Lepisosteus oculatus: one gene and its partner. The protein of the gene in region 2 purifies or fractionates together with the protein of the main gene of each other region. This does not show direct contact. Links are inferred from orthologs where the notes say so. Each region holds a gene or a part of one and is shown on either strand. Other genes may lie near its edges.

Region 1 (10,698 bases), on a different chromosome or scaffold from region 2:
TACAAGAATCAAGAACAAAGAGATGTGGTTTTAAAACAGTAGGTCTTGTATCATTAACAACAAAGCCACTTCTTAATATTATAATTGTAGCGTGCAATCTGACCAATTATGTTTTGTATATATCTTTTCTAACCTATGGTTAAGAAATCCAAAATGTAGCGGTAAAGATTAGGAATACCCTAAATAGTATTTGACCTGTTTGTAGAAGCCCTTTATAAACAAAATCTAAATGAGCCGAATTTGCCAGGCACTGCATACATGTTTCAAAAGTGCGCAGAATCAGAGCAACAGTAAGCAGAGAGATATGCCCTGATGAATTTAGAATCACCCCTACTTGCAGTAGGAGAACAATTCACAAGAAGTGTGACCAGTGGCAGCCATGAACACTGCCACCCAGATTGCCACCGTTCTTGGAAGTGTACTGGCTAAATTTCACTGCCCTTTAAGGTGTCGCAGTGCTGACGTACGGTGACAAGGAAGCACAAGCCCGCAAGCCTACATTTCTCTGTCTGCAGATGAGGTACATGAGTTTCATTCTGTCACACAGCTGCTCTGCGACAGGAAAAGAGAAGACACACAGACACCGCATCTTTCATTTAGCACTAGCATGAGACAGGAAGGCTCTGCACACACTGCGTCAGTCTTACCCGCAAGTCCGGCATCCTTCCAACCTGTTAGTCAGAAACACAGCAGTTATGAACCTTCCTGATAAGACTGCAGAGCCCAGAACAAAGCAGTCGAGGAGATCTTAAATCCCAAGCAAGGCTGTCATCCCTAGCCTCTTTTTCCAATGCTACAGCTTAGAGAGGGCACTGAAGGCAACACTTCTGATTCGGCAAAAAAACCCAAACGTCTTAATATGTCTCATTATGTCTGCTATTAATACTATAGTTGCAGATTTTTTCAGGTTCTTTGAGGATCAAGAGCAATTACACCAAAGAAATGGGCACCAAATCATCTTGCTCATTTGCATTTTCTTTAGATTTTTATACAGCCATCATCAGTCCAGTGAAAAACCTAAATCTACTACCCATTAAAACCCCAAAGTACTAAATCTATTACCCAGTGTTCTTCAGCATGAGGCAAGTTAAACTGGTTAAGTCCAAAGTAACTAAATGTCAACCAGATAGTTCTCTCAAAACATCACCTGAGCGTTTCTCATTACTTAATGCCCAAAACACATGTGAAATTAATGATTAAAGAGGAAAAACTTTGAACCCCAACACATCTTCACCGTTTTTTTATTTTCCTAAAAAATACAATTTTATTTTTTTAAATACAGTAGTATTTTTCTCACGGTTATGTTCATCATTAAGTCTAAACGCCAGAGAACCACTGTTTTGCATCTGTATTTGCTCTGCAAACACAAAACAAAAGCTTGTTTTCTTATTTTAGTGCTTTGCTACTCCAGCCATCTATCCACCATCACAAATCATTTCAGAAAGTCAGCCCATCCTGGAAGGCAGAGCTACACTCTGAATGGAACTGCAGTGCATCACTGGGCGCACTCCCACCAAGACATAATATACAGACACTGATTACCCATGTGGGACACAGGTGGAACATGCAAACTCCCCACAGAAGGCAGCCCCGGCTGGAACCGAACACAGAACCCAGCAGCTCATAGGCTGCAGTGGTATCTACTGTGCCATCACACCTCCTTTATTTTTATATCTTAGGATATCATCAGCAATGAATGATAAAAAATGGAAAAGAAAACTGTCATGCAAAGCTGTTGGTAAAGGTAAGACATGCCTTGCATCCACTCTGGAGGAAGAAAGGGTAAAGGAAATAAAGAATAAAAGAATGAATGAACAGAATAAAACCGTTAACTTTCAAGATTCCAGAAGGAGTCATTTAGGGTTAAAGGAAACAGGTCTTATGAATCTACAAATCCGTAATTATCCAAATTCAATTCTGAAATTTCCAGATCAACAACAATAATGAGATTAACAACATGTAACATGTAATCGGGAAGCACATTTTACTTTATTAAGCACGTGAATCATATAATACTCAACTTCACATAATTCAAGGAGTGACAGTGTATGAGGGACAAACATTAAACACACTGAGTTTCTATCAAATCTATCAAATGAACTATGCAAGATCCAATCAGCCCCATCAATTACATTAAGAATCTGGCTGTCACACACTCCAGTGCACTGGTCTGATGGGCAGCTCATACCTTGTAATCCCGGGAGACGGGGTCAGAGGGCACGACACCAGAGATCTGACTGGAGATTGTGGCAGCGATCAGCTGTTTACACCATTCCACATGGGATCCTGTGGGGCTGCAATGAGAGATGGTTTTTATTATCACAGTAAGTGTCATGGGAGAGATTATAAGGTGAGATATTATATAGTAAACATTTCCAGCTTACTAAGAGCCAGGAGCTTACAAGACTCCCATTAAAACAGAATCATTCATGTTGGTTTCTAGCTGCCAGCTGCAGATGTTTCAGTCCTATTATCTAATTGTGTAAGAAAATGGCACACACGGATGTCTGGAGGTCTTGATTTTCCTGGCCTCTGACCTGCAAACAATCTTCGGCCAGAGTGAAAGGGCCAACTTCAAACCACCGACTTTCATCCCGGCTGACTCTCAGCTGCAGCCAGGCCCTGATGCAATCATGTGGTTTTCCCAAGCAGACAGAGCAGAACAGAGGTTCCAGGCAGTGAATGGACGCCTACTGACCCCCACACTGGCCTGCAGGCACCTAGCAGGCCCCACAGGTAGCTGCTGTGAAGAAATCACAAGCCAACTCTCTCCCCTTCCCAGTACTTTTTGTGACGTATCCTCTCGGCATAAACAGGACTGCAAGGACTGTGACAGGTATTTAGTCTATCCTAGACTGAATTATTCCATCTATTCATCCATCTTAAACAAGCAAAGGTGCCTTTTCCTTCTCTGTTGATTTTATTCATTCGGCCTCAAAACACACCACTTATGACAATTCTTTAACTTTAGTGTAGTTGTATTTGAAGTTGAGAGATTCCTACACTGGTATTGCAACATTCAATGACTGTCAGTACTGTATTCTTTTAAGCATTTAACTCCTATTCAATATTCAGTACTTTGCAGTCTGGCACTGCTATGGACCTAAATGCATACAAGAGCCTTCATTTCACAACTTCCTAACACAAATTATCTGAACCAAAGTGCTACTCAAACAAGTCAGATTGATATTTAGAGTGTTATCTGTTGTTAGAGTGTTGCTATCCACAAGTCCACACAGAAATATCACTACCTTGTAAATGTAACATGATCTTTACTAAAAATAATCAAAAGGGCAGATGTTATGGAGCAAGGATTTCTACTTACAGTACTAAGAATTGGCTGCAAATATTAACCCTCTAAGAAATACTAGCTTCAGAACAAACATCCTGAAGGACCCCAAAGAGTTTTACGTATAAGAGGGGACCCACTCCAATGCCAGATTGAATGAGGCGAAGACTAAGGAACAAATAGTGAAGTTGTCAGTTCGATGTCTCATTTAAAGCATAGCACTTCCTTAAGTAGTGTCTCCTGTCACCATACTGGGACACTGGATGGTAAATTCCACAACATAGAGAACAGCACCTCCTACTGGTCTACCAACACCACTTACAGCAACAATCAGTTTTATGTTTCAGAGGTCTCCTATTGAGATCTCAACACATACTGTAGGCAGCAAAGCACATTCTCTGTTAACACTTTCACCCACTTTTGTCAGTTGTCTAAATGTATCAAAACTTTTTTGCATATGAACATGAATTCAGGAGAAACTATTTACAGCCCCAGTTGAAATACAGTACATGGGTTTTGAACATTACAGGAACTTATCAAGTACTTCACAAAAGTCAAATCACTGTGAAAGGGTGATCCTTAACTCCTAGATCTTAGATCCAAAAATCCTTACGTGCTTGTCACGTTTCCACAAAACATCGACGCATTGACATAATTAATAAAAAAAAATGATGATTTGGGATGGCTTCATTAGGAAATACAGCCTTGGCATGAATCGAGCTTTAGTCCCGTATATTCTATTATCAGTGGCTGGACTGCTGACAGCAGACACTCGTACTTTCCCTTGTTCCAGATTATCAACTAGAGCAGTAAGGCATCACTTACTGTCGATCCTTGATTGCAAAAGACAGAGTCGACGAGCCCGACACACCCGGTATAGGAGACGGAGAAAATATTTCTCACCCTGCAGCCGTGCACCGAACAGACACGGTCTCCAAGCCATTGTGTATCCAATTCTTAATTTTTAAGCTCAACGGCCGTCTTGCTGCCCTTATAGGAGAAAGCAAAGCGCTGCCGAGTGTTGTGTATTTACCTGTCCAGAGTCTCCTCGCTGGGCTGCCTGGGACCGGGTCCCACGAGCGGACGCGCAGGCTTCCTAGAGGGCAGTGCCGGGGGAGCAGGGCTCTCCGCTCCGTAACTGCCTCCGCCTGGAACCTTTTCCATCCTTTGCCAGTTTCCTTCCTTCCTATTTTCCTAATGCAGGCTACGCTTTCCTAGTGCAATGGACGGATATGGGCGTCTTTTTTTTCCGGGCAAGCTACGCAAAGATTTCCTGTGTTTTTGTTCCAGTGACAGCGAACCGCTAGCGCCGAATCCAGGAAGCAGCCATACCCTCATGTCACTGCGATTACCCAGGATGCAACTGCGCGCTCGTCCCTGGCTCGCAGGGCCACAGCCGCCCCTCTCCGCCCGGACAGGGGCGCCGGGCAGCAGGTCCTCCTCTCTTCCAGACTGGCTTGAAAAAGAAAGCGCTCTTCCGCCGAGGCAGAGAAAGGTGGGTGGGAGCTGAAAAGAATTATCCTGTTCTCAGATGGTCGAGAGTGCGGGTGTAATCCCCAAAGCAACTTGGTGAGGTTGTACAGCGTGAATAGTAATCAGGTGTATTCCTATGTAAACAATATGGGAATAGCGTGGACCCCTGTGGAGTGTGTCAGAACTGAAAATATATTTGAAGAGGTTCTTAAAATGAAAGCATGTAATTCCTTTTTCATGTGATTTGCAAGAATCCGTTACTACCATCAAATCAAACCCTTAACGATAGCATGATTCTGTATCGGCAAGTTCTGTAACACACTTCCTATGAGAACACATTACACGTAAAAGAAAGACTGGTATCTTGCCATCAAATGAGTACAGTACCATGTCACTGTAGGTTTCATAATCATACCGGAGTGGGGTGGTGTATTTGGAGCTGTTTAATTTTTTATTTTTGACTGACACTTCATGTCATATTTTGCTTCCCTGTAGCAGAATGCGATCCATAGATAGATTAGACTTTATTGACCCCGAAGGGAGATTTATGTGTTACAGCAGTCCAGCCCATGACAAGCAATAAGATAAGAATAGACGAAACATTATACAAAATAAATACATAGGTGTGTGCAAAATATGATGATCATAGTCACTGTAAAAACAATAGAATATGTGCAAAATGTGCATAGGTTTATACAGATTGATTGTCCAAAAAGTATAATGGAGCAACATGCTGTCCATAGACAAGCAAATGAAGGGCTAACAGTCCTAGCCTAGGGCAGCGTTATACACCCAGACAACCACCGGGAGGAAAGACCTGCGGAAACGTTCCCTTGAACCCCCCAGGGTGATTTCGACAAGGTTAAAGGTATTAACCTCACAGTCACAAAATGCGTTTCAGTGTGAGATATTAGTTCAATAGAGACAGAGGTGCACTTCCTACTGCACTGTGACAGATACTCTGGGATTAGAGAAACATTCTTCCCGAAATTCAGAAATCTAATCCCAGAGTTCCCACACCTGCCAAAACCACAACAGGTCCCAATCCTACTGGGAGAGGGAGGAGGGAACTCAGTTGATCTGGCAGCCCAGTATGTGATCTCCTGTCACAGCCTGAGGAACAGTGAGTCCGTCTCCCAATAATGCTCCAGCTGCCTACAGTATGTCAATATTATATAATATGTCTTTGTTGTAAATGTCTGTAACATGTCTGTAGATTTTATTTTACTTCTATTTTTTGTTTTGTTCTATGTTAATTTTATTATTTTTATTTGCTTTGGCAACACTGACTGTACCCATCGGTCATGCTAATAAAGCACCTTGAATTGAATTGAATTGAATTATTAGTTCAACTGGGACATGGTCTTCGAGAGCTCTGTGTTCCTTTGGGTTTGACTGGAGTTTTAAATAACGCTGCATGTTCTTGTAAAAGCCTCTTGTTACAAGTGTGTCTCTAGTAAAACCACTACAAAGTAGAAGAGGTAGCTCTTGCATGAAGGGTCTCTGCGAGCGTCCAGTATGAAAGTGCAGGTATAGACTGTGCTTTCCACAATGTTAAACTCTCTGTTATCAAACAGCTCCACCTTACGGCGGCTCACAGTACCGAAGTCAAATTGAAAGGAGTTTTGTTGTCATGCCAAGTAGTCAAAATGCTGCCAAAGCAATAACAAAACCGTAATACAAATGCTAAAATTATATATATATATATTTAGATTTATCTTAAAAGTAATACGCAAAGAGAAAAATAACAGAAACAAACGAGACCGGTGAATCAGAAAAACTGAACTGAACATCAACCCATTATGTCAATTCAGTTCATCTCGGTGTCTCGGTTTCTCGGTCTCTCAGCCCCTGCACACTCAGGCTGTGACAGAGCCACATTCCGGGCAGGAAGTATATTACACCTAAGTGTCTGACCTTCCTCAGCAAAGTGCTTTCTTTGTGTCAGACCAGACAGATATGAGACTGTCACCAGGCTGTGGTCACAGTCTGTTTAGGGCCAGATAGTGCTTCAGGGTTTGTTTATTTTTTATTTGATCTCGGATATCAGATGGTAGGGACACCTCTGACATCTTAACATCTTTCTAATTAACCTTCAACAGATTAAACCGCCTCATGATCTACAGTTAATGCCCACTAGGAACAGGCTGGTCCTTCTGAAACATTTAAAGGCATCTGAGTGTACCATGGTCATATTAGAAATATACATATATTTACACTTTTGTTTCTTAAAACTGTACATAGACTAATAATTTTGTTTAGGTGCTCAGTGTAGAATAAAGGGCCCCTTGAATGGATTCTAGTTGTAAAAGATGGGTAACGGGAACTTTACCCAACTATTTTACGGTTAATATTATCGTCTGGGAGGGGGTTGTTTTTAACGCTCACTCCAGTGGCTTTATTAACAAATGTGTAGACAGAACCTTGAGTCGGCGGGTCGGGTCTCATTTTAATAAATTAATTCGGCAGTTTTTTGCAGTTGCCATCTTTATTTGCTTTAATCTGGAGCTACTGCCCCCTTTTATCAGAAGCGGTTGATCAAAATGGGGTCCCCCCGTTTTGCAGAAAACAGTGCCGACCTGTGTTTTGGGGTGTTCGAAGACGGGCGGAGCGCACCTCTCCAGCAGGGCGCGCAGGTGTCGCTGTTGCCTGCCCGCCTCTCTCTCTGCTGCGCCGGGGAGGGGACTGAGAGAGCAGGGCGGAAGCCTTCTGAGTGAGACTCACAAGAAAACGATGATTTAGAGCAAGAAAGTCTCCACCATGAATCTGAGGGGACTCTTCCAAGATTTTAATCCCAGGTAAAGAGAATTGAACGCTGTTCTTGTTCATGCAAACCTCTAAATGTGGCGTTATAGTTACTGATGGGGTAACAGGCCTCGTGTTAGACTAAAACAGCTTTCACTTGTTTTAACCTGTATTTTTAAGCATGTAAATGTAAATTCATGATGTGGTTTTGTTTTTCGGGGTTGATTGTGCTATCTAGCGAGAGTTTGTTTTCATTGAAAGATTATAAAGTACTTCAGCGGAGGAGTCATGCCCGAAAGCCCCGGACTAAAGTTGATGTTGCAACCCGAAGAATGCGGCTTCAAAGTCGGGAATAGTGGAGATCAAAACATGGAGCACATAGGCCAACTATTTTGTAGTAAATCCAGCAATTTATCTGCTTTTCTGTTTGCAACCGTTATTTTTTTTTTGAGTATATGGGCCTCAGTGACGATTGTTAATGCTACTAAACAGATTGGTAGAATATCGTGTTGTTTTCGATATTGTGGTTGCAGCTTGTGGAAGTGCTCTTCCTGTTTCGAAGCCGTCCGCACGGAAACACAAACGCCTACTAAAAATTACAGTGGGTCTTGAAGTTTGCAGAAGCAATTGCTTATCCGATGTAACCAGATTTTGTGTCGCTTAACACGTTTGGCGCCGCATAACACTTATTTCGTACTAGGTAGCAAGCTAAAACAAGAGAATGAAAATGTTTTTTTCAACAATATTTTTAGCGAGAATTATCGCTACCACAGATTAATTTCTCATTAGCCACAGACAGAATCGAAAACTCGTGATTTCTAGTGTGGTCCTCGTTTCACCAGTTTCACAAGCAGTTTGAATTTTGCACATAGTCTTATTTAATTCAGAATGGTGGCAGAAAAACAGTGACGTTAAGAATATGCCGGTTGTTAAATGGCGCTGTGATGGTTTGTCGCCAGTTGTTCATGGCACAAAAGTCTGAATTAGCTATCCCTGTGCTTTTCAGCAAATTCCTCATCTACTCCTGCCTGCTGCTGTTCTCCGTGTTGCTCTCCCTCCGGCTCGATGGAATCATCCAGTGGAGCTACTGGGCCGTCTTTGCACCCATATGGCTCTGGAAGCTCATGGTCATCATTGGTGCGTCGGTGGGCACAGGAGTGTGGGCCCGAAACCCACAGTACAGGTGAGCTAGCAGCTGCATGCTCTGCCTTTCCGAATGGAATTGTAGCTGCCTTAGTTAACAAATGTACCATCAACCTTCCAGACTGACATTAAGTGAGGGGACATTTCTGCTTTTGCCCCTTTTGGGGTCTTAAGAAAGCATGTTGTTGTTCTGCCTCCAGTTTCTTTCAGATGTGGTAAGTGTTTTTGTGGTCTTTTTCAACAGAGTTGCCCAGACCCGTTTAATGTAGATATAGGCCTGTGCTGTTGGCCTCCTGGTTTTTGAAAATATTATTATAATAGTATTATTTGATCTGTACACAACAGTGGTGTTAATATGCGCAGAAATGCCAGGGAAGTGGATTATTTTGGTGGCAGTGTTCATGTTATTCCTAATAGCTTAATTACATACAGTTTAACCATCAGCACTTAATCTTAAGTACCTTTTGACGTGTTAATGAAAAGTATGCAAATATATAGCATTGCAGTTCTTAAAGGAGTTGTATGTAATGAAAATGCACTAATTTTGCATACAGTGTTTTATGTTGAATTCTCTGTCTAATGATTGTAAAAGGTTGTTATTCAGTGATTTAGGGTGTAAGGTGCCTTGGATAAAAGCATCACCTAAATAATGAATAAACACAAGTTGTCTAACACTAAATATAAATAATGCAAGGAGAAGGGGGGCATCATGTTATCAGAATGTTACTGCTGGAGTTCTAGCACAGATTAGGGTGTGTAACATTACTAAGGCTCTGCCTAGCTGTGGGTGATTCCTAGATTTATGTATTTTGTAATCAAACCAAGCCTCCAGAATGCTGAAAAAGAACAACAGGAATGATCTATAGCTCCTGGCTAGAGGTGATTAAAGTATCAGCTACAGCCTCTGCAATGAGTGAAGTTGGGCCCTGGTGAAGCCTTGCGCTCGTGATCTCACAGGTCAGGTGACTGCAGCTCGTTGGCTGCACTGGACCTCATGTTGCCAGTGTGCCTGTCATGGCTTGTGAAGATGGTTATATCAGGTTGTGTTGTAGGATGCAGCAAATTACCAGACCTTGCACGTCAGCTGTTTCTGAGAAATGGCAAAGGCAGATCAATACCATAAACAAGGAAGTCTGACAAACAGTGTAGTTGCTACTTAACTAGGCTTTACTTAATAGCAGTAAGAGTTTGCTTTTTTTTTCTCTAATAAGTACATGTTTGTTTAGAGGTACGAAATTCAAGTACTGAAAATTACAGTAATCATCAGGCAAGTTGGTAGGCAAGTTGGTAGGCAACTTGGCTTGACTATGGAAACAATGTAGACACTTTGTTTGCTGAATCAGTTCTGTATTAAAATTGAAGACGGTAGAAAATTCCTGAAGGTACTCATGCAGAACTTGTATTGACTGCTCAGTCCTACCCTTCCACATCCTGTTTTAGGAACTCGGGAACAGAAGTATACTTTCAAAGCCAAATGCAATTTGTATTTACTTATGTAGAAGCTGTACGGTACAGCTTCAACATACGATGAAGACCTATTAACAGGAAGGTGGAGAATGTGGCCTAGGATCCATGTTGTTGCTGAGCTCAGGATTTCTCTGCCGTGGACAGTGCTTCTGATCATCTGTTTTGTTGCACTCCAATCTTTTGGTTGCCAAGACATAACTTCAGCTGTGGTAGCTGAGGCCATGATGAGTCACAAGGGGCGTTCATCACGCATGCTCGCAATGATCAGCATCAGCAGGTTGAGTAACATGATTTTGTCTGCAAAACCTCAGAAGTCCAGAGATCTCATTTGGAATCCGGGCTTTGCGTTTACTTGTCTGGGAGTTGGACTTCTTGCAAAGCTTTTGCTCAGATTTTATAGTGGGTTTTAATGCTGATGCTTTTCAAGGAGCTATTTCACAAACAAATGGCACCACGTCATATCCTCACAGCTGAGCTGTGAATGTCTCTTGGATTTAAAAAAAAAAAGACTGCTGGCATTTCTGATATCTAAAGGATTTCATAGCCAGAGAGGAGTCCAGGCATAAACCTTGACAGTGGTT
Region 2 (10,361 bases):
CTATGAAATTAACTGTGGCTTCTGGAACCATTATTTGCCACAAAATATCCTGGTCGGCAGAGGTATCTTGTCTAAACCAGATGTTTCACCTAATGTCCACTAATTAACACTTAGCAAAAGAGACATGGAGGAATTTTCATATTTCCAAAATATTTTAAAAACACAGAAAAGTCATGACACCAAATCTTGAAATCACCAAAAATGCAGATTAAGAACATTTACAAAATAGGTTCTCTCTTCTCCATCTCTGTTAATGATCAGCTCTGATCACTTTCCGAGGAAAAACAACAACTTCCTTTTCTGTGACAAATAGTATTCACCCCTGACAATTACGGAGTTTGACATGTTGGGCCATATTTTCTAAACAACAACACCGGAAACTGCTCAAGCCCAGTACTGCATTTATGAGAACAGCATTCTTGTTATGAATAATAAATAGATCTTCTACCGCTTTCAGCCAAATATCCACTAAAAGAAGAGTCTGCTTGGTAGGGACGTGTGGATACTTAAGCTACAAATGAACAGCACGAACATAATTCAGTGCTTGGAAACGACAACATTGTTGTTCCACAGCCTATAAACAAAAACTTGATTCTCAGTGTATCTGCAATTCCCTTGAGTGACTGACTTTGCAGTCTCCATTTCCTGTTTAAAGCAAAACCTCTAAAGAAACCTACAAGTATCTGTTTTTGGTGACTTCATTCATAATCAAGCAAAATGCACTGCATACTTTCTTTTGAAATTTAAGGCTGCCACACCCAAATGTAAATTATTGCAGACAGTGTCACGAAGAGCTTTGATCTTAGCGTCAGTGATCGTTCAGCTCCACATTTACCTTTTCAAGACGACTGCATCTGCGCACAGCTAAATACACTTCAAGCTTTGAGATGTGAAGGTTAAGATCAATGAAGCTAAAAATGAAATGTTTTCAGGAGTGAAGGGGAAAATAGGTTAGCCTCAAAGAGCAGGTCCCCCACAAAGACCCCCAAACTGATTTTATTACATTACTGAATACTTTCTCTTCCAAAAAATATGCCTGCTACACTTCCACTAACCTGGGCCCTTTGATTCATCTGTGTGATCAATACTTAAGGCTAACTAAATCACCAAAATATCTGACTGTATTCAGTTTCTTGCTTTAGATAAGGCAACACTTAACTCCCATCATGTCAGGAGATGTTAGTCCACTCATGATTTGATGAACACACTGCTCCACAATGTTTCATAGCATCCATCGGTAAAGGACCATCTATTCAGTGATTCATGAGATGCTCTGCTTACACAGAACTAGTATTTTGCACATGAATTTGATAGTGTATAGGCGCAAGACAAAAATGGGTTTGCATCTAGCCCTACATCGGGGGAAATTACTGCAATCTCTAAATAAGTTCAAAGTCAGAGAAGGAATTTCAATCAATTTTTACTGAACTTGCCTTTGGCAAGCAAAAAGCACGGTGTCCCTAACTAGAGAAATTCCAAGTGCTTGTTCATTAATCATCAAAGGAAACGACAGATGTCGCAAAATAGCTGTAGCTCCTCGAACAGGAAGTTTCCACCACATCTGAACTACAATATCACCAAACCTGACTTTTCAGGCTGGGTCTTCTGCAGCCTTCACTCTGAACAGCACCACAAGTGGCTCATTTCCCACTACATAAGGCTAGGTAGGACTTCAGAAATAGTTGAAAACAGAAGTTCCCAGCCCTGGTCCTGGGCCCCACACAGCTGCTGATGTTTTGTTCCTGTTGGGCTCTCAGTTACATTACCGAGACCTTAATGAGCCTTATAAAAGAATATGCGATCTTAATAGTTTCACATTCCAAAACCTTGTTGAACGTTGCCTTTACAATCGTTGCGTGTCATACAGAACCTCCGATCTCCCCCTTCCTGAGTACAGACAGAAACTTGCAAGGTCTCAAATCACGCAACATTGAGTTCAATTAAGATTGTGTTTAAAAAACAAACAAAGCGGAAATGAGGAAGAGCCGAGCTGTGGATCTGTGAGACCAAGGATGAGAATCCCCGATTGAAAAAAAGTTTTAAAAAAGCTGCAAGGTGTATCATCTAGTACAGAGGCATCCAGTCCTGCTCCAGACTGGAGGAAACTCTGGGCCTTTTCAAAACCTGGAGACCTGGGAGCTGTAATACAGGTCCAATTGAGCTGATATCAAGGTGACTTACATTAGTGTGAACAATTGTAACTATTTACATTGACAGACACTATGTTAACATTCATTGACTCTTCCCTTTCGGAGCCAAAGTGAGGTTTAGCATCTTTCTTGACTTGGAGTTAACCCACATTCAACAGCTACGTTTCAGTGTCGAGAGTCCTACCTTTAGTTTATGCCAGGTTTTCCATCAATTAAAACAAAAGCTTTTTTATGTTTAAAAAAAAAAACATCTGGCTGGCTTGGAAACAACACAACGGCCTTTGTTGTTGTTGTTGTTGTTTTTTTTAATTCCAACCTGTTTCTTGTTTGTCTGGTACCCAGATGTTCTGCCATCTCTGTTCTGTACAGTGGAAAGGAAAATAATCCACACAAAAAATTTTGGATTCACTCTTTAGGATGCAAAGACTCCTCTGGTCCCTACTCCAGATTTGGGTGCAGGCCGAGTCCAATATCCCACCCTTTATCTACAGTAGGTGTTGGAGCAATGACTACGGCTCTGGCCTCTGGAAGGTTGTGGGTTTGAATCTTGGGAGGTACAGTGCTCAAGGTGCTTCACTTAGATTGAAACACCCTCCTGTACGAACAGATACATACACTTGTCACTTTGGATAAATGTGTCTGTTACATAAATTAGTCATAACACTGCTCTCTTTAGGATACTTAAAAATACATTGAATAACTGGAAACGGTAAGAATGCATTTGGTAGACCTGCACTTCTACAATATCGAATTTTAGTGAAGAACATAAGTGATATTCTGCGATTTCTGTTTTAGTTTAGATGTAAAACATAGTGCAAACCCATTCTAAAAACAAACAGCCCAAGGCTGTCTCAGGGTGCTTGCATTCAATCGCCGTATAAATAAAAAATTTTCATGTGTGTATCTTCAAGGCACACCCTACTTTATGCATCTAGGCCACAAATGATGAGAGCAATATTAAATGACAGCAGGCCTACAGCGGCTATGCACAACACACTGCAGATGCGAATTTTAACTTTCCATAGAGGACTTGATTTATTCTCTCTCCCTCCCCAGCAAAGAATACGGATGCAGAATTCACCCCGAGTTAAACGTGTTTCTTCTTAAAAAAATACTAATGAGATCTTGATCAATATCAAGTTCTTCACGATGTGACTTTCAAAAAAGTAAAGGGTCGCAATGGACATACTGTGTCAAACACCTTTCTACCACTAAAATATAGTTGGCTGTTCAGTTGTCAATTTACGCCAGACAATAAAACATCAACCTGTTTCCTGTCGGATAGAGGTTAACAGCTCATTTACCATGCTACTGAAACAAATAAAGTCACGTTGCCCTTATTTTGTTTCCATCCCTTACGCACTTTCGGTATTCAGTTTAGGACTAAGTAACACGCAGACACACGAGTCCACCCTTTCCAGATCTGCAGCACAGCGCTCTTTTAAAACGCTATATTTCAACCACATGACAACTACAGGGCCGTAAGCACCTTATCCCCGGCACAGTGTTACAGTTCCTTCGCTTTCGTCTTTGTTTCTTTTTGTACTTTCCAGATTTGACACAGACAGCTCTAATTTCGGGCCCTCCGCTCAGGCCTCTGGCATCCGCGGCTGTTAGTGGCGGCGCTTGCCTGCCCTGGGATGTCTGAAGTAGGGTGCACAGTGTTGTCCCGTCCCGGCCCCGGCCCATCCCCGCCTCCCCTTCCCTGCGCTCCCCGCCTCCTGTTTACTATATTGAGGCTGCAGCCCGGTTCCAAAAACACTCAGGGACTCACCCCTCTTATCGAGGTCGTACCCGACCACAACGAAGTAGTCGGCTAGCCTGGCCATGTCGGCGCTCTACGAGATCACGACGTCCGGCCCTTGCTTGTTCTCTTGTCGTTTTCCGTGACTCTCTTGTTCATACTCTGACAGCAGGAGCGACATCATCAGCAACTGCAGCAGCATCCTTCCAGCAGCGCCCCGCCGCCATACTGACACTGTTCTCGCCCTGACCGGGAGAACGCAGTGAGCCTGCGCGGCGAGGACCAGGGAGGGGCGCCTGGTCAAAACTGACAGATCAACACCCCAACCTTTGACTGCTTCCACGCACAGATCCCACAGATAAGCTCGCCGTTGGCTAATAACGCCAGTAGTCATAACAGATCATCCACACGAAGCTAGCACAGGAGGTTCCCTAATTATTGCACAGGAAGAGGTACACCTTATATAGAGCGTATTTCGTTATGTCAAAGTGACATTAACAGGTTCGTACCTTACCTATTTCTCATGGGAACATGTCATTTACAAACATAGGTGCGGTCTCTATAGTCATTGTTCTCCGATTCTTAATATTTCTTTGTACCGAGTTAAACCAGCTAATAGTCATACTGTGTAAGACTTTATGCTTTTATTGCAAGACAATATTAAGATAAGCAATTCAGTTAAAACAACCTCTTCCGAATTGAAACCAGTATATAAAACTATCCCAGTGTATTTTTTTTATTTTGTTATCTTGTTTGACATAAGCTGTATGACCCCAATTTTCCCTTTGTGTAGATTTCCCTCCTGATCAATATGTTAAGGAATGGGAAATTTGCCCACAGGGAAGATAAGACCATATGTACAGTATATTAAAAACCTCCCCAGGCTCACAGACTCTGAAATTGGTCCTTTGACTAGAATCCTTCGGTGCAGCATAGATTGATCACAGTGTTCTGGAATTGTAAAAACATCTCAACAAGAGTGCATTTCAGATTTGGTTAAAGTCCAGAATAAATCTTAAACAGAGCATAAATGAGCTGTTGACCCATAATTACCAAGTACTTTCTTTGCACACACTTAATTGGATTTGCTATAGATTTGCAAAATGAATAAATCTATGTTTTCCAGGTTAATTTGATTAATATAATGAACATTTTGTAGTTTACATCTGGTGCTATGAGCTTTACAGTCATGATTTCAAACATGATCTTTTTTGTACTTCTGTAATAGTAACAAATCATTTGCATGGATTGGTGGAGATTAAGTTTAGCTCAGCATGTGGAAAAACAGAATGGATCAATCACACACAACAGAGAAGGGAGATTAGCTAGAATAGACCTAGCTGATAATAAATCTGAATCTAAATGTGATTCAAAAGTGCAAATGAGGGTAGCTGCACATGAGCATGAAGCTCTGCATTCTTTACACCTACCCAAGTTTACTCATCACGTTCAAATTAATAAATGTCACAAACATCACGTTCATAGCAGCAAGAGAAGTGGTATTTCCAGTAGTAATAACAATACAGCAAAATATCACCAACAACAGCTAACACCTCTATGGAAACAATCAATATGCAAACATTTACTGAAGGATGATGTGTTTGGAAATCGACACAAACAAAACTTATGAATACGATGGAGCACTCAAAAAGGCTTGCAGCTTATTAAGGCAATTGTCTAAACCTTCTCAATGTAATTACAATTACACTCAAAGCACTTAGCTTATTTGTGCTTCAAACCAGCCCTGACAAACATTTCTGACTGCTCCTTTAACCCTTCACCTGAATTGGATTTCAAGAAAAGATTGTTAGGAAGGAAGAAAGATTATTCTTTCTTTGTCGAGAAGATCATACTACTTTTTAAACAGAGAACAGCTCTGCAGTCTCAGTCTAAGTATGTAACTTGCAAACCTTTCTTAACACCATACCTAAGGCACCTTGCAAAAGTATTTAGACCCTTGCAAAGCTGTCTCATTGTTTTGCTTTAAAAACTTGCAGTCATGATACTTACACAACTTGCTCCACATATTCAAAGCAAAACACAGAAAGTAATACAAAATAAGAAATATTACAGAAAAAAAATGAAATGTCATGATTGCATAAGTATTCAAATTCTGTGCTTTGGCAGATCTTAATTAATTTACGTTCACAAGATTACCAAGGCATAAAGTTAGTTGGCTGTCCTCTGTCTGCATGCAAAAATAATTATTCACATGGTTCCAGAATAAATACAACTGTAAGGTCATTCAGTCTAGCAGCAAATCTTCAAGCAAACGTTCAACCATGAAGACCTAGAAGCATTCAAAACAACTAAGGGATAATGTTATATAAAGGCACAGATCAGTAGAAGGGTATGAAAAAATGTCAAAGACCATTAATAGTTTGTGTTTGAACATGGTGAAGTGGATCATCAAGAAGCAGAAATGACATAGGTACTGTCTAGAATAAAGGTTTGCCCATCAAGCTAAGCAGTTGAGCAAAAAGGAAACAGGGAGGGGGGTAATACTGCAAAGCCAACTGCAACTTCTAAAAAATAAGAGAGTTTAGAGAGTGAAATAGGAGAAAATGTTCATGGGTCAACAACATCCCATTCATACAAGGGGGCTTGTAAGGAATCAAAAGAAATCTCATATCCCACATACAGCAAAGCGCCTAAGTGGATATTGCAAACATATGGCAAAAGGTTTTGTGGTCAGACAAGACAAAATTGGAACATTTTGGTTTAAGTACAAAGTGTGATATCTGATGCAAGCTCAACATTGTACATTACTCAGTCAGCATCATCTCTACAGAAATTATTTTAATGATTAATGAGAACATAGAGTAAAGTACTTAGAGGAAAACATGCTTTAGACTTTAAAAAAAAATACTTTCTGACAATGTAATGATCCAAAGCAGGCCAAAGTTACAAAAATAGGAATTAAGAATAAGAAAATGAATGCCTTTGAGGGACTGACTGACAATAGGATTCAATGTCCTGACTTGAATCCTATTGAGAATCTGGGGAAAGACTTAAAAAATAGCTGTCTATAAGCAATCTCCAATTAAATTAGGAGAGCTGGAGCAAATCTGCCAAGAAAAATGGGCAAAAATTGGACCTACTGGGTGTGCTAAGTTGGTAGAAACTTACCCAAAACGTCTTGTAGCTGTATTTGTTTCCTAAGGTGCTTCCGTCAAATACAGTTCACAGGTCTTAAGCAATTGATATTTCATGTTTCAGAAACAAAAAAAATCAGTTTTTGTTTCTAATTATCTTACCATTATATGTCTTCAGTGTCAGCATTCAGGTAATAAATAAAATCTTAAGTTTTAAACATATATATGCTACATTTTGTAATTTCACAGCATAGGACACCATAGGAAGGTTATTATTCAGGAAAATTGTCAGCAGCAATTGTATTTACATCAGTCAGAAGGATAAGCAACAAACAAAAAACTTTCTAAAGAAGTCTGATTAACATAAATTAACAAAAAATAGTGTTCTTGTTCACAGTTGTTTTATATATTGAGAAAGGTGACAATACCATGTAAAACATGTTAAGAGGATAAAACAATTACTACAATATCTATAGACAGGACAATATGTTCAGAACCATACTTGTACCAGAACGGAAATCTGATAACATCACAGTTCTTACTACAAATACCACCGTTGTTAGTTACGTGACCTGCATTAAGGATTTTGCATTTAATTAATGATTTAAAACTTAAATGGTAACCTTTCCCTTTAAAGCGCTCTTTGTCAAACTGACGTTGCCAGTTTAACATGAAGCCACATCATCTATTGCATGGCCTGTTGCTCACACTAAACAAACCACGAGTGCACATTCAGTCTGTCCTGATAAAATGGAATTCAGAAAACTTGGCACTGTCAACACAATCCACAGAAGAAGTTTGCAGGCTCAGAGCCAATAAAAGATAAGGAGTAAGCCACAGTCCTCAGTTCATTTTGCTGCAGCAAGCAGTTTCACAATAAAACCTCAAGTTTTCAGCTGGCGAAAAGGAAAAAATCAAAGGCCTTGCTGTCAAATTGTTATCACCAAACTGGCGTATCAAGTACTGTGGCTTAAAGAACAATTTAAATAGCTGGTCTTTACTATTTTTGTACATTTTACATCCGGTGAAACAGCATATAACCGCAACATACACTTGTTCACATATCACTAGAAGTGACAGCAAAAAGAAAAAATCGTAATGATTTGAGACACACAATCACTACGCCATGTTCCAGGAAAGCATTCTCCAGAATGTGATGTGACCTAAAATACAAATGTACTCCACTCTCAGAATTTATAATTATTTGTAATTTCTTATAAAAAATTATATGGTTGTAAGAGGATCTGAGTAACAGTTAGTAGAAGAGCATGAGAGATCACTTTATTAGCCATATACAATTTCTTGCATTAGGAATTTGTCTTTTCACATACCCCAGCTTGCTCACAGGCACAAACATAGGGAGAGAAGCTTGGGGCCAGAGCACAGGGTCAGCCATTTATACAGCACCCCTGGAGTAGCTGGGGTTAAGGGCCTTACTCAGGGGCTAAACAGAGCAGAATTCCTCTGTGGGTTGCAGGATTCGAACCAGCTACCTTCCAGCCACAGGCACAGATCCTTAGCCACAGTGCCACCACTCTGCCTGCTTTTTTTTAAGAGCAAGAGCGTGAGGCTCTGCCCTGTGATTCTTTATCACATTATATCAAAACTGTGGCTGTTGTTTTTTTAAATGGTTATGATAGCTTTGGATGGTAATGAAAAAAGCTTTGCCATATTGCTAATGAACCTGCTTTCTGCCTGGTTGTAATCCTGAGCCCATTTAATAAAAACATTTTTTAACTTGTTTTGTTCTCCACCAGAACTGTCCAACTTGTTTTTTTCACATCTGTGTCAAATGAACTAGACAACTAGACTTGAAGACGTTGAAGCGGGTCATATGGCAGAAGGAGGCTGCAAAAGCTTGCTGTTGAAGGAAAGCTTCAAGAATATGGCACCCTGTGTTTAAAGAGTATGACAGGAATCAGCCCTGTACAGGCCAGAATTGGCTGGATGATATCATCGCCTTAAAGAGCTACCTGTTACCACATAAGAAAGTTTTTTTTTTCCCCATCTATTATCTTTTAATAAGGAAAGAAACAGCTAGGATGATAGACTTTCAGGGGATTAGGTAGCCCAGTCAGATACAGGCAACACCCCAAGTGAAATTTCTTAAGACACGCTACTCATGGGAGTACAAGAATAGCGCTCTATCTGGGTCTTGAACCTACAACCTTCCACTTATAAGCCCCCCAGTCCTAACAACTGCTCTCACCTGAACAACTCATGAGGACAGTGGATTAATCCCAGTAGACATTTGCAGAGAAACTGAAGATGCCCAAGGAGGCAGACGAGAGAGCAGACTAGAGACCCTAGTGTGGGATGGTGACAAGAACCCAGAGTGAGCTACAGCAGAGAGGCCCTGACTTCTGACAGTGGTCTTCATATCAAAAGGGGGAGCTATTCATGTGGACCTGTGGACTTCAAAAGGGTGGGTGGGTATTTGTGTTTGGTTTTCCACATCTGTGAACTCTGGCTTGAGCATGTTCAATAGATTAGTACTATCTAGGGAGGGTTGTATCCCTTGCTGTCGTGGAGGATTGAATGGCTGTTGTTTTTATGAGACCAGTTCTGTCATGTAGACCTCCTCAGGGGCTTAACATCTGCTGACTCTATACGCTGTCATGCTGCTGTCATGGTTTTGACATCACTGAGTCATTGAAGGCTGGGCCTCCAGATGCAGTTCAGTCTGAGATCTTGTAGGTTACTAAGTGTTGTTCTTGTGGCTTGTTAGGGTAGCTGTTAATGAGGGCACCAGTGAGAGACAATATGAGAGGAATCAGTGGTACAAAGATGACATGACAGGAATGTAAATATACTCCTAAACAGCCTTTCTCATGCAGCACTTGACAGATCGACAGATGGACAGAGTCAGTGATCCACCACACCCACCTTTCCTGCGTTCAGGACTGAGAAAAGCCCTGTTTTGTTCTTCCATGAAAAGAATGAAAATACAAGGTTTTGTGCTGTCCTGTTTAAAATGTTTAATTAAAAAGGGTACAATGTAAAACAATATACTATTAATAACACACAGGAGCAACAGTGTTCACATGAGTCAGATGTAGACTAATTAAGAAATAAATTCTTAATTTGTGTTTACTTGTGTACAGAAACAAATGGAAAGTTGGTAAATTATTTAACCATATTGCTGTATTAACAAGTGAATGCTTGCGTCATGGATTATTAGATGTTAGAACATAATTGCAAATGTCTCAGTTTTCTTCCCATTGCATTTGCAGCAGACTTATTTTTCGTTAAAGATTTAAAGACTTAAAGTACATTTGCCTGGAGTAAGTTGAACATACTTGTCATTATACTTATGTGAGCATTCACATAAGATAATGCCACCTAGAAGATAGACGCACCCCCTCAGCTCTC

What was found.
Region 1: the proteins of sbf1 (region 2) and mtmr1a purify together in Homo sapiens (affinity purification with mass spectrometry; 4 studies listed by BioGRID and IntAct, with this or other methods). This does not show direct contact. The link is inferred for Lepisosteus oculatus from reciprocal best matches to the Homo sapiens genes SBF1 and MTMR1.

Annotation. Positions count from the first base shown.
Region 1 is NC_090703.1:40,998,113-41,008,810, reverse strand, and holds the start of mtmr1a (myotubularin-related protein 1), read right to left. Parts: upstream 4,454-10,698; coding exon 4,323-4,453; intron 2,295-4,322; coding exon 2,189-2,294; intron 672-2,188; coding exon 648-671; intron 1-647. Other genes in the region: tmem185 (transmembrane protein 185-like), read left to right, coding at 7,523-7,560, 8,514-8,690. UniProt on the Homo sapiens protein: Lipid phosphatase that specifically dephosphorylates the D-3 position of phosphatidylinositol 3-phosphate, generating phosphatidylinositol. Could also dephosphorylate phosphatidylinositol 3,5-bisphosphate to produce phosphatidylinositol 5-phosphate.
Region 2 is NC_090702.1:12,869,913-12,880,273, reverse strand, and holds the start of sbf1 (myotubularin-related protein 5), read right to left. Parts: upstream 4,187-10,361; 5' UTR 3,980-4,186; coding exon 3,925-3,979; intron 1-3,924. UniProt on the Homo sapiens protein: Acts as an adapter for the phosphatase MTMR2 to regulate MTMR2 catalytic activity and subcellular location. Promotes the exchange of GDP to GTP, converting inactive GDP-bound Rab proteins into their active GTP-bound form.